Astyanax mexicanus: one gene and its partner. The protein of the gene in region 1 purifies or fractionates together with the protein of each later gene. This does not show direct contact. Links are inferred from orthologs where the notes say so. Each region holds a gene or a part of one and is shown on either strand. Other genes may lie near its edges.

What was found.
Region 2: the proteins of stip1 (region 1) and hnrnpdl fractionate together in Homo sapiens (co-fractionation; 3 studies listed by BioGRID, with this or other methods). This does not show direct contact. The link is inferred for Astyanax mexicanus from reciprocal best matches to the Homo sapiens genes STIP1 and HNRNPDL.

The regions. Positions count from the first base shown.
Region 1 is NC_064408.1:21,487,282-21,496,238, forward strand, and holds the start of stip1 (stress-induced-phosphoprotein 1), read left to right. Parts: upstream 1-5,023; 5' UTR 5,024-5,099; coding exon 5,100-5,108; intron 5,109-8,279; coding exon 8,280-8,489; intron 8,490-8,957. UniProt on the Homo sapiens protein: Acts as a co-chaperone for HSP90AA1. Mediates the association of the molecular chaperones HSPA8/HSC70 and HSP90.
Region 2 is NC_064427.1:26,846,217-26,854,471, forward strand, and holds the start of hnrnpdl (heterogeneous nuclear ribonucleoprotein D-like), read right to left. Parts: upstream 3,537-8,255; 5' UTR 3,397-3,536; coding exon 3,305-3,396; intron 1,962-3,304; coding exon 1,793-1,961; intron 1,687-1,792; coding exon 1,525-1,686; intron 1,401-1,524; coding exon 1,269-1,400; intron 1,182-1,268; coding exon 1,070-1,181; intron 776-1,069; coding exon 611-775; intron 513-610; coding exon 442-512; 3' UTR 413-441; intron 5-412; exon of another isoform or gene 1-4. Other genes in the region: enoph1 (enolase-phosphatase E1), read left to right, coding at 5,836-5,919, 6,025-6,126, 7,397-7,599. UniProt on the Homo sapiens protein: Acts as a transcriptional regulator. Promotes transcription repression. Promotes transcription activation in differentiated myotubes. Binds to double- and single-stranded DNA sequences. Binds to the transcription suppressor CATR sequence of the COX5B promoter.

The DNA.
Region 1 (8,957 bases):
AGGTAGACAGATAGATAGAGAGACAGATAGATAGGTGGGCAGGCATGGTAGGTTAGTAGGTAGGTAGGTAGGTAGGTAGGTAGGTAGATACATAGACAGACAGGCAGGTAGGTGGGTAGGCATATAGATAGACAGACAGACAGAAAGACAGGCAGGCAGGTAGGTAGGTTGGTAGGCTGGTAGATAGATAGTCAGACAGACAAAAAGGCAGGCAGGTAGGTTGTTAGGTAGGTAGGTAGGTAGGTAGGCAGATAGATAGACAGTCAGACAGACTGACAGGCAGGAAGATAGGTTGGCAGATAGATAAACAGATAGACAGGTAGGTTGGTATGTAGGCAGATAGATAGACAGACAAACATGCAGATAGATAGATAGATAGATAGATAGATAGATAGATAGATAGATAGATAGATAGATAGATAGATAGATAGATAGATAGATAGATAGATAAATAATTTGTATGGGAGCAAATGTAGCAATAATCTGAGATTGAGAGGAGAGAAAGAGAGAGGGAGGGGTATTGATTGCTGCCTCTTTAAGTGGAGGCTATTGCTGCTGCTGCTGCTGCCGTTGGGTGAAGAGCTTTTTGAATGAGAACTCCTCCTCAGACTAACAGCTGCAGTGAGGTGTGTGTGTGTGTGCGTTCGTGTGTTTGTGTGGGTGTGTGTGTGTGCGTGTGTCAGGGTCTGGCTCAGAAACCAATCAGTGACACCACAGATACTGAGGCAGGCTTTCAGTGGGGCTGGAACAGTGATTGTGAATGTCTAGGAGATAAACAGGACATACTGATACCACAGTAAAACACCAGTGTCACCTCCTGATACATAGACACACTAAACACAGCTTACTGTGTGATAAAAAAAAAAACAGGAAACAACAGTGTCACAAACAACACCAACCTATCTATTGTTTCTGTATGTCCCTAATAGACACATTTACCATATAATTTCTTCTGAAACTGAGAGTACAAATAGGGAACAGACTACACTAGATGCTGTAACATTGCTAAGAATATTAGAATGCTTTCAGCCTCAGGGAGTAGGGATGTCCTGATCAGGTTATTTTGCAAATTATCTGTGTCAGTTTATATGATCCAATGTGATTTGGGTTTGTATAAATAATAACAGCCATGCAGTTTAGATCATTCTGAAGTACTTTTACTTTGTTTTAGTAACATTTTATTTAATAAGACTTCTGACTGACCAGACTCCCTGACCATTTAGCTCCCAGTTCCTTTGAAACACTGCAGTCAAGTCACTTTTGTGTACATCTATGTGTATTCAGGTTTATACTCCCTGGACTGATATCTGTTAATTCCACACTGCACACTAGTTCCACACTAACTAAACTCTTTACTGTATTTACCTTCTGAGAACTCTCCTCAGTGCAGTCGACTGGGCGATACTGTCCACTACTTGCTATGAACACTGTGGTTAAACCATAGACTTAGAATTGGATTTGGACTCAAATAGCTGATACCTGATCCATTTAAACATGCCTGGATAAGATCGGGACATCGATATTAGTGAGTATAGTGGGGTATTTACATTTGATCATTAGGTCTGGATCACAAACATTGCTTCAAATAATCCCAAAGGTATTGGATGGAGCTCCAACCCTGTAGATATTCAGACCTACTGCTCCCAGTCTATCTGTTGATCCTCAGCTGATGATTGTGACCTGGTGGTATGGAGGCCTCATGTGCCGCTCCAGAGCATCCCAGTCTGTTGTCAGGGCTATATAAATTCTGTGTGTGTGTGCATTTTAACATCTTATGTCAGCACTGAGTGCACCTAAGTAGCAAGTAGTTGGATTAAGTAATTAAAAAAGGCTGCCTGGGTACTTTCAGACATTCATGGCTGGTTTCCCGGACAGGGATTAAGCCTAGTCTTTGACTACACAGAACTCTGAATTAACATTTTTCATTAAAAAGAAAATATAATCCATAGCTAAGCTTGATCCCTGTCTGGCTGTTGTTTATGAAACAACATATAGTCAATAGAACAGCTTCCTGTTTACTGTTAGTGTACCCAACTAAAGTGAGGATAGAGCTAATTAGTTTATTACTATTAATACTGTTACTACTAATGCTACTACTGTGATTACTGTTACTGCTAATACTGTTAAAAATGTTAGTAATACTTCATACTATGATTACCACTACTTCCACTAATATTACTATAATTACTAATATTATTAACCATTTAGGTTATCTCCTAGTAACTAATACTGTAACTACTGTTACTGCTAATGCTATTAGTAATGTTACTAACACATCCTACTACTGTTAGTACTACTTTTACCAGTTTTGCTACAACTGCTCCTATTACTACTACTTCTACTACTACTGCTACTAATACTACTATGTAAGTACTACTATTACTATTGCTACTGTTTTACTGCAACCACTGCTATGGCTATTACTACTATTTCTATTACTCTCACTATGTTCACAACTACTGCCACTATTACTATCAATACTGCTACTTTAAAACTACTTTAAACTACAACTATTAATGTTATTACTACAACTACCGCTTACTATTACTACTTCTATTACTATCAATACTTATAAATCAGTTGACATTTTAAATCCTTTTTTTTTACTATGTATCATATGTATAAATAGTAGACATCAGACTACACGGAAATCATATTGTCCCAGCCTAATCATTTTTCATTATACCTGTCACAGGTGGACAAAGTGGACAATGACTAGGAGGACAATTTTAGCAAAAATTGACATTTGTTGAAAACATGTAAAGTGACTGATGTCACGGGTTCTTAAAGGAGGATTTATTCCAAGCTTGATATGGTTTTATGAAAACTGAAATAACTGAAGAAAAGTCTAAAGTATTTTTTTTAATCTTCAAAACTAAGAAAATAAAGTATAAAACTGTGTTGTTTAATCTCATTTTATCTTAACTAGGCAGCACCGTGAACATGACAAAAGAACACTGTAATAACTGTAATAAATGCAGAAAAAGTATTTTAAAGAGTAGCTTTCCTCTATGGTTGTAATAATTTGTTAATGAGTCTTGAGAAAGTGCTGGTAGATTCTGTGTGTCTCCAGAGCACAACAACCCTGCAGCAGCTGGAGTTATTTATGTACAGCCTCGAATATGAACCAATGAACTTTCCAGAACTCGCTAGAATATTTCTGCCGCTTTTTCCCGTCACATTTCTCCTCCCAGCTCCAGCGCACTGTCCTCTGATTGCTCTAAACCAAACCGCGCTGAGCGAAACAACCAATCAGCGAGAGGATGAATCTAAAGCGATGAGAAAAGTCACAATGCGCGAACCCGGCGTTTCGCTTTCCCATGTATAGCGGGTTGCCAGATTTGCAGGTGAAATAACACGACCGTTGATTAAAGAGAAATTGTGGAGCTTTCTGTGTACATTAACTAAGTGTACAATATAAAAAGCAAATCATTAATGAAGTGTAGGTGTAAATAAGTTTAATATATGTATGTTCTGTTCATTGCACATATCAGAAACACTGCTTGTTTGTGTTATTCAGCTTTTAAATACAAAAGAATCAAAAGTATCCACATTTTAAAGTATCCACTCATTTCTCAGGTGTCCATTGAAAATGAACGTATTTTAGTACAATGTAAATATATTAAAGAAGCTTAGTTGGGACATTTCGCTCAAGTGTGGCGTGATGTGCAGCTGCAATGGATTAAGTATAAACCAATAGCCATGAATCATTACAAATCCTGTTCTACCTTTCACTCTGCAAACTTTCCACTGCTTTATGTAATAAATATGTAACACAGTACTGTACTTTTAATTTCATTACTTGGGTAGTACTTAAGTACATAAATGATGGCATATCAACATTGAATTAACGTTGGTGTTATGCTTCAACCAACGTTGGATTTGGTGTTTATTTTAAAAAGTGAATAAATGTTGATATGGCAATGTTATTTCAACGTCGAACGTTCAACCTTTAATAAAACTTAGCTCATATTCGGGATGCTTAAAATTGTATGGAAGAGGGAAAAAAACTGTATGCCATGATGAAATTAACAATTTTATTTGTATTGCTGACTACCCAAGGCCAGAGTAGTGAGAGGGGCCCATGATAATCCAGATTTTTTTTTTCACGTGTACTGGCATGGATAGGGGCCCACTGACATTGAGAGTGTACAGGGCCCAGAATTTGAAACCATTTTTTCATCCTTCCATCCAAACATTTTTTTCAATTGTATAGTGATTCAATGTAAAATACTAATTCAAAAGGCAGAAGGTTGAGGACATTATGTTGATTGAAAGTTAAAATTTTATAGATATTTTAAACAGATATTTTTTAAACCATATTTCGACCATATTAAACCTGATTTCAACACTGAAACAATAACAACAGACAGTACTTCTATCATATTTCAACCATATTTCAACCACATTTCAACGCTGAAGGTCGGTTGTGTGCCAGTTGGGGGGTTAGCACTAGGTGGGCGATATGGCTCTAAAATAATATCACGATATTTCAGGGTATTTTTGCGATAACGATATACTTGCCGATATAGGAAAACAGAAATAATTCGTTAATTTCAGGAATATACTATAATAGTTTAACAGTATAATCATAATGTGGCAAAATAAATAACATAGCATAAAATAATATAATGCAGCAAAAAAAATTGCAGAATATTTAGTGCATGCATATAAACTGCAAACTAAAACAATTAAACAATACATTCACTTAAAGCTTCACAGTAAATAATGGACTACTTTTAAGACAGAACATCCCTATTATCACGATATGGATTTTTAATATCATGATATTTCTGTGTCACAATATATTGTATTTGGATATAATATTGCCCACCCCTAGTTAGCACTTCTACTTCTAAGTGTGGAGCTTAAAAACACTTTAACTTCTAATCAAGTCACCTTTTAAATAGAGCACTTGTACTTGTTTTATTATTATACATGTCTGTTTAAAACAGACAATTATGCAACATATGTGAGTCACGGAGGGATATTTCAGTGCGACATGGCAACCCAGATGCTGGGGTATAGTCATATTGAGCGGTGGGCGGCGCGTCTCCACTGTCGTCTCACAGTAGTTTCTGGAACCTCATGGTTACACCATGGAGAAAGTAAGTACCACTTCAGCCTGGGAATTAATTATATTCCTGCTGAGAAAATAGGAGATATATATTCTGTGGGGAACAGCATATACTTACTGCGTGTTTCTGCAGTTAGCTGAGGGGGGATTGTGTCGTGGTGTGAGTGGGCTGGCCAGTTAAACCCCAGCTAAGTTCGTTAGCGGCAGTTAACATTAGCCGGTGAGCTAGCGGTAATATTAGCTAAGCTAGCTGCTGTGTGACAGGCGCTGCTGCAGCGGTGCTCATTGTTAGCTCCGGTGCTAAGTTTATGAGCATGACTAATAAAATAAAAGCCAGTTATTGGAGTTATTCCTCTAGTTTATGTTTGGCAGTGCTGTAGCTCATTTTTATGGCACTGTTGTTTCGTTAACGCAGCTGTCTGACTCGTATTAGCAGCGTAACTAAGCAATTAGCTTAGTTCGCTAGGCTAGCTGTAAGTGCCTAGCTTAGCCTAGCTTAGCTTAGCCGGGGGAGGCTTTGCAGAGATGAAGCTGTAAGCTAGGTTAGGTGCATAAGCACTGCGACAGTTTATAAATGTCCCCTGTTGCTCTGATATAACATAGCTAACTATATCTATAATAAATGTATAGCTCTAAACAGAGTCGTTTTATATGGTTTTCTGTGGATAAAACACTTAATTCCTGCTAGTCTTGTTAACTTTTCTAAACGAAGTTGACCAGAAGTCCAGGTTTAGCTGATTAATTAACTTTATCTGTTTAAATTCTCCACCTTCTACTTTTCCTCCACTTGATTTGTTTCTGTCCTGACGATGTCAGATAGTTTACACAGGGTATAATTTATTTCTTTACTAGCAACACATAGCAATATAGTTACTGTGCCAAGTCCTGCTGGAAAATGAAATCCGCATCTCCATAAAAGCTGTCAGCAGAGGGAAGCATGAGTTATGTAAGACCAGCACCAGCAGATGACATGGCTCTCCAAACCATCACTGACCCATCAGTAAATTAAGCATTTAATTTGGAAATCAAGGGATCAGAGTCTGGAGGAGAAGTGGAGAGACACACAGTCCAAGCTGCCAGAGGTCTAGTGTGAAGTTTCCACAATCAGTGATGGTTTGGACAGCCATGTCTTCTGCTGGTGTTGGTTAGCTTCTCCACCTTCTGCTTTTTCGCCTCTTGATTTGTTTCTGTCCTGAGAATGTCAGATAGCAAGATATATGATATCGATCCTCTAAAAAAAGGGAAAAAAGAAGAGGAAATGACTGAAACCAATGTAAAGTTGATACAATTGTTCATCCCTAATACTAGGCACTAGTAACTAGTTTTTGAGTATGAAGATTTTGTTATAGTTAGTAGTGTCCTTGTATGGGCAATATTTTTATCCCAATTGCATATTAAGTGCTAATACAAACTCATATTTTTTAAATAAGGAATGTCAAAACAATGTATAGCCCAAGATATATATATTTTTATAGTATTATTAGTATGTAGTTGGGACACATCCTTAGTGTTGAGCAGTCTGGTATCAGTGTTGTAAGGTTTTAAGAATAGTAAGAACAGTTTGAGCGTATGTAGTATTATTAGTCTTTAACCACATAGACAAGTCTTTGTCATGAGTTGTGAAGACTGTAGGTGTTACTCTCCAGCCTGTAGATCAGCTGCTGTGACTGCTGTCAGTGGTTGTCTGTCAGTGACATTTGTGACACTTAGCTAAGAGCAGGTCTGTGTGGTGTGGCAGCTGACTCTGACCACTCTGATTTTTGACCACCACCAGTAAGCATTTGAAAATCAGTGGTATTAATAAGAATTTTTTCACTATTTGTTGCAGCAGAAGCCTTTACTTAGATTGTGCAGTAGATCACATTCCTGTGAGGATTGGATTGCATTCAGCCACAAAAGTATTAGTGTGGTCAGCTCATTATGTGTGATTTAGTAGGTCTGGGTCCCAAACACTGCTGTAACTCTTCTCAAATGTAGAATGCTGTTCTGCTGATCCACAGCCCAATGCCTGGGGTTTATACTCTTGTGGACAATGTTTGCTATTTGTAATCTGGTGGTATAGTGATGGCATGCTGCTCCAGACTTACCCATTTTAGCTTTTCTATGAAGATCTAAAATCTATGAAGATTAAAAGTTACCTTTACACATTGTATGATCTACAATCTTAAATCTGTACCTGATGCGCAGTTCTGAGATGATGTGGTGCTGCAGCTTACCCTATAAACCATTAGTGTGAAGAAGAGCTTTTTTGTGTGTAAAGTTGGGCGATGCTTTATTATCTAACCACTGTTGTGCTAAGTGAGTTGTTCTCTCTCTCACTCGTAGGTAGCTCTTCTTAGTTACATAAGAATGAGTGTATATATGAATACCTGAAATGTCACAAATAAAAAGAAACTGTGTGGACAGAAGTACTGGGACACTTTCCATCCATTGCTGTTTCAAAATCAAGAGTATTAAAGAGTTTTTTCTGACTTTGTAAGAGTAATTGTCTTTTAATTGCCATTTATTGACAATACTTGTTTGGTTAAGGAGGTCATCCAAAATTACAGGATTGAGCATCATGATTCCAGAAATCACAGTTTAATGGAGGGATGCTTTATACCCCTCTTGCCCGTGCCTGATATAAGGCATGGTGCCAGTAGGTTCATGTTTCTTCTCTAGAGACTTCTATTCTATTGGCTGTACTTTTCTACAAGGAAAAAATAAGCCGTGTGTGCACAAATAATTATGCCAACACACCTTGCCTTGCCATGAGTCATTGGTCACATAACATGCTGTAATATAAGCCAAATGCCATTAATGTAAATGTTAAGTGTGTCTTTAAAAAAAAAAAATAGTGGGTCAAGCACTGTAAGGTCTACGGGCAGATACTTCTAGTGGCTGGCCTGTTTAAATTGCAGTGCAAAAGAGTCTCAGCATCTTCCACCTGCTTCATGTTGTAATGTACATGGAGTTCTGGTTGAGTGCGGGACAAGCTGTGTGTTTCTGTTGCCCTAATACTTAAATTCTGCTGTTTTTTTATTTCTTTTCTGTTTCTCATTCTGTTTTTAAACCATCTCTAAGCAGTACTGAAAGTTCTTATCTTTTAAGTAAGAATCTGGGCAGTTAATCACTTAATCAAATCAGTCAGTGTCCTAATAAAGTATAGAATTGAATGTTTTTTAAAAGGTTTACCCATTACTATGCTCTTTTTCCCTCCCAGGTATCTCAGCTAAAAGACCAGGGCAATAAGGCGCTGAGCGCTGGAAACATTGATGAAGCCGTTCGTTGCTACACGGAAGCCCTGGTTTTAGACCCATCCAACCATGTCCTTTTCAGCAACCGCTCTGCTGCCTACGCCAAAAAGGGTGACTACGATAATGCCCTGAAAGATGCCTGCCAGACCATTAAAATCAAGCCAGACTGGGGCAAGGTGAATAAAATTCTTGCTTTTTTTTGTCTTTTATTTCCCCTCTTCTTCAGATCGGCTGGGTCAGCCATATGCTGAAATATTGATGGATGCACAGCACAAGACCGTTGACTCTATGTTTTAGCTTTTATAGCTAAGTTGCTATATGGTCGGTTGCCCTTATTGCTTCTGTAGATGGTTCATGAATAATATGTGGGACATATCCACAGAAATAAAGAAGCTGTATTTTGAGACTTTTTTGTTGATTTTGCAAACCGATAACAGTTTGGAGCACCACAGGAGTGTTTTATGGTATATCCTGTGCAGTTTGCACAAATAGGAAATGTGTTTAATTTGCTGATTGAACTTTTAGGTACATTTGGTGGATAAAAGTATTGGAACAAAGTATTTTAGTCACCAGGTTTAAAAGAGTTAATCTCTTTTTTCTCTCTCTCTCTGTCTCTTTTTATTTTCTCTCTCTCTCTCTTCTCT
Region 2 (8,255 bases), on another chromosome or scaffold:
CCCGCTGGCAGGTACAAACAAGTACAATATCAGAATTAGGGAAAGAATGAAAAAAATAAAATAAGGAGGTGCCCTTACTTTGTACCCTTTAGCAGTACTTTACCTGTTAGCATTGCTATCAACACTATCTTATTTCCTTATGATCACCTGTTAAAAAGCAGGGAGGAAAATGGAAACCAATCTACAGAAAAACGCTTATGTTTTTCTGGAGAGCTTTAAAACCAAAAATAAGGCACACCACTAACACAAGCATTATTAAATTATAATTAAAGATCTATAGACAAATCCCCAAATTACTCAACATGGGGTGCATGATAATGCATACCACTTGTTTTAGGATAATCAGTTTGTGTCTATTGATCTTTAAATTGTATACAAGAGGACAGATGTAAGGCCAAAGATGCAGTCTTACCATAACTCTTAGCAGGTCATGTCATTTCGTCAATATGGCTGGTAGTTGTTCTGATGATTTCCACCCTCCCTGGAGGCCTTGCCGTAACTGCTGGGCTGACCTATTAAAAATATATATATATATTTTGTCAAATGTTTAATGCATGTTTGTAACAATAAAATAGCAAAACTCACAAATAAATAAAAAGTTAAGACTTACTGTTGTAGTCATCATACCCTTGTCCATATCCGTAATTCTGATAGTTGTAGCCTGAATAGTCGTACCCAGAGTAGCCATTATATCCCTGGTTGTATCCATTGCCATAGCTACCATAGTTTTGTCCGTAATAATTGTTGTAACCCTGGTTGTATCCTTGACCTTGCCCTGCACAAAGGAATGTAAATGGTTAGAATCATAGAGGGAAGAACTCAGTTTTAGTACTTTCTGCAAAACCCTCCCTCACAGTGGTTCTCTGTTTTGGCTAATTGTAAATGCACCCATCTCTTCCTCAAAGAACAGTATAACTGCATGTTTTCAATCCAATCAAGCAGCTGTTGGATCAGTTGTTTTCAGACTTGAGTTAAGGGTTTGAGGAGTGATTCTCCTTGGTTGGAATGAAAACCTAAAGCCAAAACAGAAAATACAACTGACTGCTGCTTTAGACAAAAGACTACATACCTCCTCTTCCACGACCCCTGAATCCTCCTCCTCTTCCTTCTCCAAAGCCCCGGTCACTTCTGCCCTGCTGCTGTCTGTAGACTTCTTTAGGCTGGGCAACTTTAACTTCACACTAAAAAACATACCCACATTAAAAAAAAAAGTTTAATTTAGACCTTATTGGACTAGCCATGCTCGTAAATAAACGCAGTAAACCAACCTTTCCACTTCCAATTTGGTGGTATCTGTTTTCCAAAAGCTTCTGAACAGGCTCTTCTTCCACATACGTTACAAAGCAGAATCCTCGCCTCTCATTTGTCTTACCATCCACAGGAAGTTCAATGTTTTCAATCTGTTAGGAACACACATGCCAACCACTTTAGCACTAGCATGGACTCATACAAGTTAACACTTCTGGAGAAACCAAGTACTATAATGTGTTTTTTTTTTAGTCCTAGGCCATTCATATTACTTACAGTTCCGTAATTTCCAAAGTATTCCCGAACTTGTTCCTCTGTTGTTTCTGGATGGAGACCACCAACAAACACCTTTTTGGGAGGTTCCTTCCCCTTCATGGCCTTGGCTCGCTTCGGATCAATAAGCTTACCATCCAGTTTGTGTTCCTTCAGTTCCAGAACCTGAGCAAACAGATATTTTTCAATTGTTCAGCTTTAATTATTGTACGATTGTAGTAATTTACAGATAAATCCCAATGTACCCATGCTAGCAATGTAGAGAACTCACCCTGTCCACACTTTCTGCATCCCGGAAGAGCACAAACCCAAAGCCTCGAGAACGGCCAGTCATGGGGTCTGTTTTGATCGTGCAGTCCAACACTTCTCCAAACTTGGACAGGTAGTCTGTTAGGTCTTTCTTGCTGGTGTCCCAACTCAGGCCTCCAATAAACATTTTCCTGTTAAAACAAACAAATCAGTATTATTAAATTGTGGGGAAATACTGCATCAAAGCACAATACTTTGTTTGGCATTATTGTTTTTTTTTTTTTTATAAAATGTAACAAGACAGTATCTTTGTCTTTATAATCTTACACTCTTGTTGTAAGCTTATTAAAATCACCCCCCCCCCCCCCCCCATGTGTTGCATTGTTTCACTGGTTGTTGGCAACATAATGTAGATCACATGATAAAGTAGTGGGGGTTCAAATTGCTTAGCTTGTTATCAATAATAAAATGCCTGAAAATGGTTCCCTAAGGAAAAAAAATCTCCCAAATAGAGGTGTAATTCTTTTCTTTTTTATTTTATATATACATTTAATTTAACTGTGAAGCATACATTGCCAGTAACTGCATTAAGTATCAACTAGGAGGTCAGATTGGTCACATGCACAGTCATACACAGTATAAACAGCAGGGGTGGCTTGATCCATTTAAAAAAGTTTTCTAGTGTGGTACTGGGTAAGGTTTTTATTTAGCAAGGAATATGCTTTGACTTACGAAGGCAGGATACGATATTGCTTTTGAACCACTTATAGTAATTAAAGATAATTAGCTAACTAGATAATAGACAGATGTACTTGAAGTAATTGGATACCCACCAGCAACCCATATACTTTTCTGTTGCCTAAACTATCCTAACTAACGTTACAATACAAGAATTAATGCTCTTAATTGGCAGAATTACTGCAATAATTCTTTCTGTATTTAAACCTAAACTAGAGGACAAGCAAATAAACCAGTTAAAATAATAATACAATCAACGGCAGAGAATTTTAGGTTAAGTATTGAAAGCACCAACAACTTTATACCATTCATCTATCTATAATTTGTATGGCAAGATAGAGTTTTTTTAAACAGAGTTAAAAAGGCCAAATTGAGTATTTCAGAGAGGCGTTTGCTTTTGCTCAGTGTAAAGCACTTAAATATTTATTAGCTAGCGTTATATAGGTTAGTTAGCATTAGCTATGAAACTAACGCTAACTAGCTGGCCTAGTAGTTACAATTTCATTATAACCTAAAACCTTAAAATAAAACAAAGCTAGCTAGGTTAGCTAACTAAATATGTTTTCTTTAATTAGCCCAAAGTCTATTTAAGGTTAATACACTGGAGTTTTCCTATTCCGGCCCGGTAGGCTCCTAAATACAATTATTCAGTCCACCTTAAATAGTGCAGGGCTTTTACTGTGGCGCCACTACCGGCGCCAGCACTCCACTGCAGGAATATTTAAGGTGGACCGGAAAATTCCGAGCAAGAAGCTGCAGCCTTGATCTGGCCTTGGCCTAGCAGCCAGCGGCTCACCCGTCATCCTGTTGATTCCTGCTCGCGTTGATTTTGGACCCCTCTGGAAACTCGTCGGTGCTGAAGTCGGTACTTTCCTGTTCTGTCTGCATTTTAGAGTGTGTAGGTGTGTGGGGTGACCCTCTGCGGAGCTGCTAAAGCGATTTTATAGCTATAAAAAAGAGCCAAACAGCAAACACTCACTGAAATACTGACGCGGCGGATAAAATGGCTGATGGGGTCTGGTGACGCAAACAGAAAAGGCGGGAGCAGAAGAGGGCGGGGCTGCGGGAGGAATTAAGGGGTCGCGTCCTAATAAAATTAGTGCCCTCTTTATATACGCACTTCTGAAGTCTGCTTATTTTGGACACAGCGACAGGAATGCACACTGGTAACGGTTTGACTCATCAGTTCAAATGCTTGACAACCTCCAGCCTGGCTTGGATGGATGGATGGATGAATAAATGGGTAGATGGATGGATAGATAAAGTATAAAAGTACAGTCCTTTAGTAGTAGGTAGTAGATATGTAGATAGATAAATGGATGGATGGATAGATAAAGTATAAAAGTACAGTCCTTTAGTAGTAGGTAGTAGATGGGCAGGTGGATGGATGGGTGGATGGATGGGTGGTTGGATGGATGGATTGGTTAATAGATAAAGTATAAAAGTATGGTCCTTTAGTAGTAGGTAGTAGATAGATAAATAAATGGAAGGATGGATGGATGAATGAATGAATGGATGTATTCTGGAAATCTCAGAGGGAAGTTCTAGTGCAGTTAAACACCGTAAAAAAATATGTACCAGTGCAAACATGTAAACAGTGGAAAATAAATAGAAATATAGATCTAGTAGTGCAGAATGGGGTAAAATAATATAAATAGGGCATCTAGGAGATTGTGTCTGCAGAGATGGGGTATGTCCATTGTTGTGACCAGAATAAAAAAATGAAAAAAATTTTTTAGTTTACTGTTCTGGGTTCTCTTCTCTGCCAGTGGTGTTAAAGACTCCAGCTCTAATCCCAGCACAGAACCAGCTTTCCTCACCAGCCTGTCAAAAACCCAAATCTGAAACTGTGTATCTGTGTGTCAGGACACAGTTGGGCAACAAAACACACCTAACAGTTTCAGTACCTTTGCTGACAATACAAATGGGTGGGTTCAGATAAAAGATGATATCTTCTGAAATATGTATCGGATCCAGATGTACATAACTGGAAATAAAAGCTGAAATGTTGATATTTTGTCTCCTAATAATCCTTTGATGTAAAAAAAATAATAATGGGATAGACCTAACTGTTCCTGTATTTTGGATGGGACAGCATATACATATTCTAACTCATTAGTGCTCATTTTGTAAAAAAAATAAATAAAAAAATTAAAGATTAAATGACATTTAGGGGCAAAAGGCAAACATGACGAAAACGTCTTGGCACTGGATTGAACTGAAATGATATTTAAAAATGACATAAAATTTAATATAAACATCCCCTCGAAAACAAACTGCCATTTAACTGAATTGGTCTATTTTAAAAATATAATACATTTAGAATATCACGTTATTATTTTTTTTATTAAGCAAAGCTGTTCAACAATGTTTTTACCAGCGAATAATACACTGTACACATCTGTGATTAAATAATATTCTGAATAAATGTCGTTCACACAGAATATTCCTGAAAATAAGCGAACCTGCGCATACATACATACGTACATACATAATCACTGATCTTTAAATAATTTCTTGCCTCAAGTGCTTCGGCGTATGGGCTGTAGATCAGGTAGCTTTGCGTAAAGTGTGCGCAATCCAGTTGTGCACCATTGCAGGGCAGGGCCAATGCCCATATTCGTGGTTGCCAGATTGGTAAGTAGGTAACCTCCGTTATGTATAGCGTTAAAACTGCAGTGTTTTTTTTGTATTTTTTTTAAATAAAATCGTTTGTTAAAAATAAACACTATTTATTTACACATATATAAAATAGTTGTGTATGGAATCATGTATATTTAAAAGAAATGTAAATATAAAAATGAATTAAATAAGTATTATTATTATTGTAGTGCTGAGCAATATATTTATATTTTATCATATTGTGATTATATTATCTTATCGTATCTACAATATCCTTTTTAAAGAATATTTTAAGAGTGTAAAAACCATTTTTGTTTTTAACTAGATCATGTGCAGCAGAAATGTAATAAATATGAATTAACTTTTTGAATAGCAGTTCTTAAGAATCTGCCCTTGCTTATGCATTTTGTCTGCATGTCAAAACATGATAAGTACTGTCATTACTGACTACACTCACAGACTACGTTGCCATTCAGAACTATAGAAATAGAGTTTTTTTCTTACCATTATTTGGCAACCCGTTGACCAAGCCATGTGTTAGCAGCAGAGTGCTAGCTGGCTAGTGTGCTCCTCTGGCTGCTTTTCTCTGGATTATCTGTGATTGTTGGTCGGGCGGTGAATCTGGATGATCTGAGGAACTGATTCCTGTACTGATACTATTCTGAAAACTTTATAATAGAGGCAGATCGTTCGCCATTCTGGAAGATGGCAACGATTACAGTTCCGGAGAACGTTAGCGTCTTTCTGCTGGACATAGAAGGAACCACGACCCCCATCACATTCGTGAAGGTAGTACCGCTGTTATATACATGATTTATACACATAATAATTACACCAGGCACATGATGGTAGTTACTGAGGAAGAATTCTCTGTTACTCTACTTTTATTTGCAGGACGTTTTATTTCCATACATCAGAGAGCATCTGGAGGACTACCTGTCAGCGCACTGGGAGGAGGATGAGTGCAAGCAGGACGTGCATCTTCTAAAGAAACAGGTCATCCACCCACCATCCACCCATTCACCCAGAGCAGCAGCCTGGCCTGCACTGGTCTTTCTCTCAGGATATTAGAGAAATATATGTACACAGCATTATACAAAAGTATTATACCTTGTCTGAGGAAATGATACACAAACTTAACAACAAATACGGATATATTAATGACTATTAATTAATAAGATTTACAGTTACCGCCCAGTACCATGTTTATAAGTCACTATGATATTATGAATGCAGGTCTAGGTTCAGCAGCAGTATGTGCTGAAAGAATGAGGTCAGCTGACTACCTGAATATACTGAATATAGACCAGGTTATTCCATCAATGGATTTTCTCTTTCCTGATGGCACGGCTATATTCCAAGATGGTGATGTCAGGATTCATGGGGCTGGAATTGTGAAAGAGTGATTCAGGGAGCATGAGATCATCATTTTCACACATGGCTTGTTCACCACAGAGTTCAGAGCTTAACCTCATTGAGAATCTTTGGGATGTGCTGGAAAAAGGCTTTGCGCAGCGGTCAGACTCTACCATCATCAATGCTGCTGCAAGATCTTGTGAAATAAATATTGTGACATTTCAGAAGCTTTTTGAAACAATGCCACAATTAATGCGTGCTGAAGTCAAAGCTAAAGGTAGTCCAACGAAGTATTAGAGTTTGTGACCTTTTTTTTGTTGCCGACTCTTTCCAGCTCTTCAGGCTGAAAATGGTTACTGAACCATCTCTAAAGAGTTTTAGACTTCACCAATCCACAGTCAAACAGATTGTTTTCAAATGGAGGAAATTTAAGAACATTGTTACCCTCCCCAAGAGTGGAAGACCAACAATGATCACTTTAGTAGCAGTGCATGTAATGGTCTGCGAGGTCACAAAAGTTCCCAGGGTAACTTCCAAGCAACTCAAGGCCTCTCTCACATTGGCTAATGTTTATGTTCATTATTCTACCATCAGGTGTACACTGATCAACATACAATTGCTGAGCTGCTGTTGTCCCTCATATCACTACTAGGAGAAGACTAGTAGTGATATGTAAGGCTCTTTTGGTAGTTCTTGGGTGAATTCTTCTAATTCCAGTGGGAATTACTGCTGCAGTATTATTATTAATCTTCATAACTGCACATAACTGACTTCTTTATTCAGCCCATTAATTCTACCCTAGCGGCTCCAGCATGATGCCGTTCTTACATTAGTATTCAGCAATTGGGCTGTCGTCATGCGGTCAGCTGATTCTGCTCAAATTCACTCAAACATGTGCCCCTGTTTCCAGGCTGAAGAAGACTTAAAGCAGAACAGAGCGTGCCCAGTTCACACAGTGGATCAGACGGTGCACACGGATGAGGAGAAGGCTATCCGGGAGGTTGTGGATAATGTCCTCTGGCAGATGGCTGCAGACAGGAAAACCACTGCACTGAAGCAGTTGCAAGGCCACATGTGGAGAGCAGCCTATGCTGCAGGGAAGATCAAAGGCGAGTAAGTATAGAGGATCTGCTTCTTTAGTAACTTGTCTGCAGTATGTACAGATGAATAGACTTAGTCTGAGGTAAACATAGACTGAAATGCACAACCCAGAGAAAGTTATTACTGTTTTACGGAGCCCAATTGATAATTAAGTTTTAATAGGCATGTTTTGCAGATGGTAACTAGATAAAACTGAAAACATACGCTGTGTTTTTAAGCATAACCTGTGACCACCTCCTTGTTTTTACAATCATTACTCTTTTTTTTTTTTTTAGCTCCACTGAGTGTATACAGTAGGAGCACTTTGCACTTCTTTAATTCTACAGACAGTAGTCCTGTATCTGTCCTGTAATAATACTCTCCTTTTACCCTGTCCTTAAATGGTCTGAACCCCACAGGACCAACACAGAGCATGTATTATTCTCAGCACTGCAGTGACTGTGCTGAAATAGGCGTGTTGGGTTAGCAGTGTTAAGTGTTGTGCTGGCATGACTGGATCAGGCGCTAAACAGCAGTGCTGATGGGGTTTTTAATGTTTACAGCCCAGCACAATTATAAAGATCACAATATCATAGCTGGTGATTTAATATTTTGCAATATATTGTGATACTGTAAGAATGGTAATAAATAGTGCTTTGTTTCCATTACATTTTAGGGAAATTCTTATT